Linked DNA regions of Saccharomyces cerevisiae S288C. The protein of the gene in region 2 binds, or shares a complex with, the protein of the main gene of each other region. Each region holds a gene or a part of one and is shown on either strand. Other genes may lie near its edges. A codon is read from its position in the direction of its gene.

The links.
Region 1: the proteins of BMS1 (region 2) and RCL1 are in contact, whole or in part, in a crystal structure (PDB 4CLQ), measured with the Saccharomyces cerevisiae proteins. Residues at the interface, in NP_015107.1 of Saccharomyces cerevisiae: Ile549 (codon at 2,448), Gly550 (codon at 2,445), Leu552 (codon at 2,439), Ile553 (codon at 2,436), Tyr554 (codon at 2,433), Met555 (codon at 2,430), Asp556 (codon at 2,427), Ile558 (codon at 2,421), Ser559 (codon at 2,418), Pro560 (codon at 2,415), Glu561 (codon at 2,412), Cys563 (codon at 2,406), Ile564 (codon at 2,403), Trp567 (codon at 2,394), Arg568 (codon at 2,391), Val606 (codon at 2,277), Asp607 (codon at 2,274), Leu608 (codon at 2,271), Glu609 (codon at 2,268), Lys610 (codon at 2,265), Phe611 (codon at 2,262), Val612 (codon at 2,259), Pro613 (codon at 2,256), Tyr614 (codon at 2,253), Phe615 (codon at 2,250), Asp616 (codon at 2,247), Phe618 (codon at 2,241), Leu621 (codon at 2,232), Ala622 (codon at 2,229), Lys624 (codon at 2,223); in NP_014633.1 of Saccharomyces cerevisiae: Ser14 (codon at 1,565), Gln15 (codon at 1,562), Asn16 (codon at 1,559), Phe17 (codon at 1,556), Arg18 (codon at 1,553), Leu19 (codon at 1,550), Glu49 (codon at 1,460), Lys94 (codon at 1,325), Tyr98 (codon at 1,313), Glu101 (codon at 1,304), His125 (codon at 1,232), Asn126 (codon at 1,229), Asp127 (codon at 1,226), Ala128 (codon at 1,223), Ala132 (codon at 1,211), Leu137 (codon at 1,196), Arg185 (codon at 1,052), Pro186 (codon at 1,049), Ile187 (codon at 1,046), Ile188 (codon at 1,043), Ile191 (codon at 1,034), Val215 (codon at 962), Asn218 (codon at 953), Leu219 (codon at 950), Gln220 (codon at 947), Cys221 (codon at 944), Tyr256 (codon at 839), Phe257 (codon at 836), Glu259 (codon at 830), Glu270 (codon at 797).

Annotation. Positions count from the first base shown.
Region 1 is NC_001147.6:305,872-309,541, reverse strand, and holds RCL1 (rRNA-processing endoribonuclease), read right to left. Parts: upstream 1,605-3,670; coding exon 501-1,604; downstream 1-500. Other genes in the region: ERMES complex subunit MDM12, read left to right, coding at 1-218; PLB3 (lysophospholipase), read right to left, coding at 2,133-3,670. UniProt on the Saccharomyces cerevisiae protein: Does not have cyclase activity. Plays a role in 40S-ribosomal-subunit biogenesis in the early pre-rRNA processing steps at sites A0, A1 and A2 that are required for proper maturation of the 18S RNA. RCL1 activates BMS1 by promoting GDP/GTP exchange.
Region 2 is NC_001148.4:139,080-145,103, forward strand, and holds BMS1 (GTPase BMS1), read right to left. Parts: upstream 4,093-6,024; coding exon 541-4,092; downstream 1-540. Other genes in the region: Arf family GTPase SAR1, read left to right, coding at 1-330; YPL216W (uncharacterized protein), read left to right, coding at 4,742-6,024. UniProt on the Saccharomyces cerevisiae protein: GTPase required for synthesis of 40S ribosomal subunits and for processing the 35S pre-rRNA at sites A0, A1, and A2.

The DNA.
Region 1 (3,670 bases), on a different chromosome or scaffold from region 2:
CAATTCTGGCAGCTACTAAGCCATTGGAGCGAATATCCATTGTGAGAAGTATGAAGATTGAAACCGAAATAGGGGAACAATATCAGGGACAGGGCTCAGTATTAAGAAGTGTTGGAGAACTAGAACAGTTTTTGTTTACGATATTCAAAGATTTTTTAAGAAAGGAGTTAGCATGGCCAAGTTGGATTAATCTGGATTTCAACGATGGTGATGAGTAATTTAACAAAGATAGTTTGAAAATAGTGTCTACATAAAAAAACAAACATTTTTGAGCTGGAAAATTATATTTTGTCATGAAGTAATCTATTCTTAACGCGCTTTTCGCATACGCTCTTTGATGATATTTTAGATGACCCAAAAGAGTTAAAGGAAATCATCAATGATCCTCCAGTAATCTTATACTCTAGACAGTTGTCCGTGAAGTTACACCTAAATAATCATATATATATATATAACTTATATACAGTGGTCTAATATCTATTGAATAATATTAGAACATGCTATGCAATCTTTTTGCTTGTGTTTGTGAAACCAATACCCTTGATAGTAGCTATCATGTCTTCATTATCCGCCTCGTCAACTGGTTTTAAAAAGACTTCAGTATTAAAGATCTTCTTAATATCTCTCAAGAGGATTATGAATCTTTCGTCTATCTGTTCCTTATTAATTCTCAATCTGCCGATATCTTCTTTCCCGATGACCATGTAAACAATTGCTAATGGAAGCTGGTTTCTACCAACTGCTGCACTCTTTGATATTTCTTCTAATAATTGACAGGCAACTTTTTCACCAAGTTCTTCAGGTATAGAACCTGCATCACCGATATCTTCTGCAAAATAACTCCAACCTTTCTGCTTGGACTGAGCAACCAAAGTAATACCCCAGCCTGGACTCTTCCCTGAATTTTCACCTCTCCAGACATCTGCCGTTATGTTAACTTCGCATTGCAGATTTTTCAATACCTTCTTAGCACCATCGATCATTCTATTCACAAGCGACGGACTTACTCTGGTAGAGTATGCTACACCGGTAATCGATGAAATTATGGGCCTATCTATTTCATGCATAGTTATAGGTTGCGCAATCAAAGAATCAACAACCAAATGCACTTCGCCACCTCCTAGTGGTGGTGAACCTCTTTTCAAAGTATGTAGGGCGCACTCTCTAACGCCAAATTTTTCCATAACGGGCATGAGTCCCCATTTGATAGCTTCAATACCGGCATCGTTGTGAGATGCAGTTATGCCTTTGAATAATATAGAAAATTTCTTTTTTGAAAATGGAGCCAAATATAGCATTGGTTCGACGAAATAACCTACCGGTTTGGAACTAGGGCAGATATGAGTTGATGCACCACCAACTATGATACCGGGCCTATAAATCACAGTAGTACCGGTATAAGAAATTTCAATTACACTCCCGTTGGTGACCGACTCGATCAGCCTTAGAAAAGACACTTCATAATCTTTCAGACCGGGATTTAAGTCGCCTGAACGGATTTTTTCAATTTTTATTGGTTTCCCTGATAATGTTGCCAAGACGATCCGTAACCTAAAATTTTGTGACCCTTGGAAAGTGGTGTATTTGGGGGCGGAAGATGACATTGCTATACTTTTGGAGGATTATCCTAGTGGAAAAGTGTTGACAATGGTGAAGCTTGACAGATGTTATACCCTTACAACATACGTAGCTTATGAAGGCTCATCTCATCGGCACTTTTTTGCAAATTTTTCTGAAATTTTTTCAATCTCGAGTCCGTGAAAAATTACATTACCAATATGGCGAGGGTAATTCTGACATCCTCCTTCAAAGTAAGTGCAAGTAATAAAAGCAACTTGACTACCCATTTAAAGTATTAATACGCTTTGCGCGGGGTTATAATTATAAAGTTATATCTTTTAAAGAAGAGGTCTGCTATATATAGACCTCCGATGTCATTAGTGAAGTTCCTTAAACATGGTCTTGCCCGAAAGGGATGATACTTCAATGCAAAGGGGAAATGCTCATTTTCTTTTTTTATTTTAGTTTTTTAGTGATTTTGCTAGTCTTTCAGCTTTATGTTTCGTTATTTTATAGTGTAGTTCTTTGATTTTTATTGCCTCATTTTGTATACCGTTATTACGCAAGAGATATTATACTGCTCCGGTAAACATCAATAAAGTAAGCATAATCATAGCAGAGAACTTTACACTTATGCCAGATAAATGTGATCCAGAATTAGTAGCTGCCTTTTTCTCAAGGGTTGCAGTAGCCGAAGGAATTTCCGAAGACGAAGATGAAGACGATGATGAAGACGATGACTGGGAAGCTGAAGATCCGGCGTAAAGACTTTCTTCTTGTCCTATGGAGCTGTTGAAGCTATTGACGTTGATAAAGGAGTGGTGAACATCCTTTTCAACATCTGGTAATGGGGTAGTATCCAGGGTACCATTCCAGCAATAATTTTTAAAACAGGTTTCACATTCCGGAGGCAAAGTAATATTCAAAGCTTGTTGCTTACGTCTAATGATGGCGCAGCCGACGCAGCCCATGAATTCAGGATCATCAGTGAAGTTGTTCCTAGTTGCAATTTCAAACCCGTTTTGAATCATACTTCTTCTTTGGGATTCGGAATATGATAGCTTGAACGCGCTCTGATTACTATTGAAAGAGTATTCTGCATTTGGCAGATAAACAACTAGAGGTGGAATATATTGAAGATCGGTCAAATTATTAGCATCGCAACCGAAGAAGGTTGGTTTCTTGTTCAAACCCAAATTAACGAATGTATTCGTATCTGGAACATATGGGAAGGACATACCTTGACCTTGCTTAACGAATTGACGCTCATAGGTATGGACTAAAGAAGAACCGTCAGGCCAAGCCAATCTCATATCGGCAGAATTATCTACCGCAAAAATAATGTCCACATCACGTTCCTTTTGTATAAGCGGTAACACAGGAACATTTTCGTCGTCTTCACCGCCGTCAACTAAGAATAGGCTGTCTGAATCAACAATACTTGTCGTATAGTCACTATCCAAAAACTTCGTGTCTTTAAATGGATTAGGACTGTAAACAGCGATATCATTAAAATCTTGAGATAAATCCTTTAGAAAATGTCTTGCTAATCTTGTGATGAAACTAGGTAAGTGAGTGGAGTTTATTCTCAAAAGAAACTGGTTAAATAAGGTGGAGGAAGTACCCATGATAAAACCTGCATTATCAAAGCCTGCGGTACATTTTCCCCTTTCCAATGGTACACCATTGGAGACATTCGTTCCAAGGTACTTAACGTTGGCAAAAGAGTTCAAAGAGGGATCCCAGGATCCCATTTCAAAGGGATTAAATTCAAAAACCGTTGCGTTCAAATTGATGACTTTTGTTCCAGGATACCTACCGTCCGCAACAGAAATTGGAAAAGGCATTTCAGCATTTTGAAACACTGGGAAATCCCTAATGGAAGACCAAGTCAGGCCTATACCCCCTCTATTTAGAGAAGGGAAAAAATTATACGCCAAGGCTCTGCCCCAAATATCGGCCAAAGAAGTATTGTAATCGGCGTTCTGCTTAGATTCGACAGCATTAGAGATATGATCCCACCTTTTGGCTGTTTTGAATATATTAATGCCGCCGGGGGTAACAATAGAATCTGACAAATCCCAAATAGAATCGTCGTTCTGCATATTAT
Region 2 (6,024 bases):
CGTTTATGGAAGGATTATTTCCCAGAAGTTAATGGTATCGTCTTTTTAGTCGATGCTGCTGACCCTGAAAGATTTGATGAAGCACGTGTCGAATTAGATGCTTTATTCAACATTGCCGAATTGAAGGACGTTCCTTTTGTAATTCTTGGTAACAAGATCGATGCTCCAAACGCCGTTTCTGAAGCGGAGCTACGTTCTGCTTTAGGATTATTGAATACCACTGGCTCTCAAAGAATTGAAGGTCAAAGACCAGTTGAAGTTTTCATGTGTTCCGTTGTTATGAGAAATGGTTATTTAGAGGCGTTCCAATGGTTATCTCAATATATTTAATTGACGTATACATCTATACCCTTTATATGACATTCACATGAATTCAACAGCTTTGTAATAATCAACAAAATTGCATAGGATGCCACCTCATAACTTTTGAGCACAGCATTTCCGCGATCATAGTATATTTTAGACTCTAAGATTGAATAAAAGTATGATACATCTTAAGTATACATATATATATGTATATATATATATATACATGAAAGTTTACCTCCTCATCTTACGTGGACGAGATTCATCGTCACCGCCCATAGTTGTTCTTTTACCATTCTGGGCGAAGTATTCTTTCTTTTTCTCCTTATCCCTTTGTGATTTTTCTTCCTCCATCTTAGCTAATTTTTTCAATCTTTCCTTACGTTGACTAGCCTTCTGTTCCTTCCTCTTGCTGTCTTTGGCTTTCGAAATCGTCAATACTTTTTGAATGAATGATCTTGCCTTCTTTTCATCACCACCTAGCACCACGGCTCTTTTAGCCATATATGTTTTCTTCTTTTGTGGTTTCATTTGATGGATCTGAGATTTGAATGGCAATTCCTTTTGAACAGCTTTTGGGACCTTTAGACCATTGAAGTGTCTTTCTACACGTTCTATTTTATGATATGCACTGTCCGGATTCGACGGTGTTTCCAGGTTCATAGCCGCTCTTATTTGGCCTGTCAATCTTAAACCTTTCCACTCGGTTTTTTCCTTCAACAATAGTGAGGTAACAGGATTATAGAATTTCTTGACGCGGACAGGATACCATGATCTTAGAATTACAATATCACTCATTAGGATTTTATCCTCAAAGGCTGCCCTATAGTGACCCTCAGGCTTTGAAAGTGCCCTTTTGATTTCACCACGGATACCCGAGACAGTTTTGATCTGCGCACCCTCAAACCTTGCAACTTCCATAGCACTTGAAAACATGTCCTTTATAAAGGCAGTATTTTTGAAAATTTTATATGGAAACCCAACTAATTTTAACTTTTTAACAATTTCAATATTAACGTCTATCTCTTCAACGATACCTGTTGCTGCAATTCTAAAACCGTTCCCGGTATCACTATTAGCAACAATTTGAACACCACAAAAAGGTGTGTTTGGAGAACATAAGGGACCGTAGAAAGCCGCATTACAATATGTGTGTTCTGGTGTATACTTTAGCATTCTGGTTCTTGTTCTAGAGTCAGTTGTTGTATAAATTGGTAAAGTTTGGAACCTTCTCCAACCCAAAGACAAGACCAGTGGGTCATTTGTCTTCAAAATCTTCTTATGCCAACGATGTCTTCTCAACCTGGCTTTGACAATACCGAACTTTATTTCGGTCGGCAATAAACCACCCATAACAATTGGAAATTTTGGATTGAAATTCTTGACAAATTCCATTGGGACTTTTTCGAAAACGATACGTACATAAGAACCAGCTTTGAAACCTTCGATTCTTTGACGTTGTTCTGGAGTCATTTCTTGATATTCTATATTGTTAATTTCTAACTGTTTAGATATCTTGGCCTTCTGTAGTTCATACCATGTATCATATTCATTGTTTTCATCATCTTCTTTAAAGTTTTCACCTTCTTCTATCTCGAATTGTGCACGTAGTTTTTCCTTCTTTGCAGCATTCATTTCTCTTTCTTGCTCCATGGTTAAGTCCTTTTTTTCCTCCGCATCAAAATTAGTGAATGAATTATCATCATCTCCATTAGTGTCTTCGTTTTCATCCTCATCCTCACTTTCTTTGTCACTATTGTCTTCTGCTTGTTCAGAAGGGTTTCCATCTTCTAGATCTTCAAAATCGCCGTATAGTTCTTCCCCACCTTCATTAGAGTCACTTTTCGTTTTATTATCATTACCTAAAATGCCTGCGCCGAGGAATCGCTCTTTGATTGCATCAACGCTTTTCCATTTTTTAGCCAATTTTTCGAAAGTGTCGAAATATGGAACAAACTTTTCCAAATCAACTGCATGGTCTTTATTGCCCTCTTTTGTAACAGTACCATCTTTTTTCCTGAAGAAGTCATCATCAACATCTTCTTCAATGTCACTTTCGTCTTTACTATCGTCGTCCTCGCCCCTCCACCTTCTTATACATTCTTCAGGTGAAATGTTGTCCATGTATATCAGCTTACCGATATTCCAGGTCCTTTTCTTACTTTCAGTTTTCTTCAGCTTGTTTGCCGCTGTTCTTTCCCAGGAAAACTCATCTTCACTCTCTTCAAATTCAGAATCTGTTTCCAAAGCTAATTTTTCGGCACCCTGCTCACCGGTATTATTGAAATCGATTTCAACCATCCTTGGTTCGGAGTCCTGCACGTCGTCATCATTTGTATAAGGTTCTTCATCACTCGGTAAATTATCAATATCTGCGTCTTCTTCTTGAACTGGCTTACCATAAATTCTTGGTTTTCTTAAACTGGTTCTTCCCTTGCTCTTTCCTTCATCGTCCTCAATACTTTCTTCTCCACTTTCAACATCCATGCCTTCATGATCGGCAACTTCATGAAGCTCAGTGCCGTTGCTAAACAATTGCAAACCCACACCATCAAATTTCTCTGCAATACTTTGTTCAACACTTTGTAAACCCGTCATGAGTTTTTCTCCTTCACCTCTTTCTTGGCCGGGAACAAAACTTGGCTCTTCATTTTTCTTTCCAATATCAATATAAACAGCATCCTTATCCATCAACACACCTCCGACATCGGACATTGGAGCATATATCAATTTATCTTTATCATCTAACCTTTTACGTCTTCTTGTCGTAGAGGCAGTTGTAATTTCTCCGTTAGCCTTTGCCTCTTCTTTCATTTTTTCACGTTCAAAATCATCCAGTTTCTGTTGGTAAAAAGGTGTGGGACATGGATCTGGTAATTTTTCAATTTGTGCTACTGAGAAATCACCAACACCAGCAATATGCACCCTAGTGCCCGGAGCAGAAGGCAAAGGAGTACCGTGCAAATAACCATAGATAGCGACTTTGCGGTCGATTTGCAGTCCTTGAGTCTCTATTAATTCCGGATGAGTTAAATCTGTGAATCTGTCAGCCAACATATAGGGATGTTCGTTCCTCCATTTTAATGGTCTGAATTTCATAACAGATATAAATCGTGAAAGGTTTAAAATCTCTCTATCAGGATACCTTCCATTAATCACACCAGATAGGTAAAATAATTTTGCACCTTGATAAACTTCCGTCCAGAATCTGTGCTTTAATCTTTTCTTAGAAGCTCTCAAAGTTGACTGAGATTTAAACAGATCAAGATGTGTAGCTACACCAAGTACTCTTGGCATACCGTGATGTTGAGCAATATTTAAGAATTCCATTGTTTCCATTTCAAAACCGAAATTACCGTCAATTAGTAAAAGAACCAAGTCGGCAATCTTAGCAATATCAATCATCGCATTCAGATCGTCCGCAGGGCACTCCAAAAAAGTTAGTCTTCTATGTTTACCAGAGACAACAGTAATAGGACCTTGAATATCATTCAAAGTGCTTTTTGTCATTCTCCTGACGAGGGACCGAATCAAAGTAGTCTTTCCTGTTCCAGGTGGACCCACGACAGCGACGATAAATGGAGGCGGATCATCTTCAGGGGTACGATCAACCATAGGAACATGCAGTTTTCTTTCGTTCACATCACTTGACCTTTGCATAGTTCTCGCCATCTTACCTGGGGCTGCCACGGCAAAGGCCTTTGCATTATGACCCTGCGTATGGAGCTTCTTTTTTGCTGTATTCTTCTCCTTCGCCTTACGGTGCTGTTTATTAGACTGCTCCATCGTTTCAGATAACTCAGATGGCTGATTAAAGGCTACTATTATGTGATATTTTTACCTTAACAGCGCAAATACTTTCCTTAATTTTGAAGCTTCACTTCAGCTCATCGCCTTGAAAATTTTTCATTTGTACGGACATTAAACTTAGGCGATAACAAAAAAAAAACTTCATCTAGATAATCTCAACTTTGAAATTACAGAAATATTTACAACAGTAGTACGAGTATCTGCACTATGGCTCACATGTCCTTAAAATAATCTAAGCTTACCTATCTGATATTTGTTTTGATATTGTTTAGGACCAGCAGTTTCTGAGAGTTTAGCAAATGCACCTTTACAGCTATCCTCAACTTTTGGAAGAGAAAGTGACAAGATATGTAACAATACTTGCATGAATCGACATTTGTTTACTTTGGTCCATTTTGTATATGATAGTGTGATTTAGCGATATGGAATTATGTGTATTTTTCTATTTGTTGTCATTTCAATATGGGATGACTTGTTTTCTTGTAACGCGCCACTTCAATAGTAAACATTATGAACCTGATAAATGTTAGCAGACTTAGTAAGAGAGACAATCATTTTCATTCAGTAAAAATCGCAATCCCTAGTTTGGCTCTTCTTCTAGCCGTACTTTAAATTCAAAGCAAAAATGGTTCTGCTTAACAGAAGGAAAATACAACCTAAGGAAATAGGACAGTCTGCTGATTCCTTCTCTGAAACTCCATGGGTGATTAAAGAAAGTAGCGAGCGTATAAATGATTATGACAGTGATTTAAAAAAGCTAGATTTTTACAAAAGGGATATATTCACCTGTGAGATTAGTGGAAAAGATGGCCTTTCGTATTTCAAGGCGTTAAAAAGCGAAGAACAGCACCGTGAAAAGGTCAGATATCTTTTACCAAAAGAACTAAGGAAGGCTATAGCAAATTTCGCAAACTTCAGTCCGATAAGGAAGGTAGGACACCTTGTAGAAAGCGCATTTCAGCGTTTTAGTAACCGTTTCTTTATAGGCGATACGGTGTGCTTGAAAACTATCCAAAAAAATGCATTGATTACCTATAAAGAAGGAGAGCCTAACTTGGTAGAATCACCAACTATTGAAAACAATGTCACGTTGTTCCTTGTCAAGGATGTGTTTCAATCTAACGGGATGATGGAAAGTGAAAAGGGAGAAATTTCTGCCCCAAAATTGTCACTGTATTTAATCACAGAATGCCTGAATCGAGAATCTAAAGGTGCGGCCCTAATTGTAGGCCAGAATGAAATTAAAAGGCCAGAATCACACTTTTCTAAATTCATAATTGCGTGTTTTCTTAATGAAATACTCATAAAAGTATCGAATAAGGAGCACGCACCATGGAGGGTGAAACAAGAATATATAGAAAGATATGATGTAAACCCTAAATGCTCTCCTAATATGATTGATTATTTGCCGGATAGAATGAACTCATCTTCTTCCGAGCTTTACACTCCTCTTACTATACCACCAGAGAGCGATGTTGAACCTGCTGACTGGAAGGAAACGTCGGAAACGTCGGAAACGTCGGAAACGTCACTATCTAAAATAAAAGCAATTGACGACGAGATTTCAGTCTCATTTGACCACATTTACGATAATGTGAACTCCCTTGCCTACAATGATTTGAAGGGAACCGTCGACGACAAGGAGCTTCCATTCACTGGGCCTTCGATACCATTTGAAAATATCAGCTACTTAGATAGCTCCTTAGAATATAAGAATATCGATCAAAAATGGTTCAAAGAGTGCAGTCAATTTCCAACGGAACGACTATTGGTTGTTTATCAATTCCTGAGCTTTTTTGGACGTTTTATTGGTCTATCACATTTTAATTTTGATCAGTTCCTTACTACTATCAAGTGTACTAGTCCGGAGGCTTTAGTAGATGAATATGTCAAAATAAACTTTCTTAA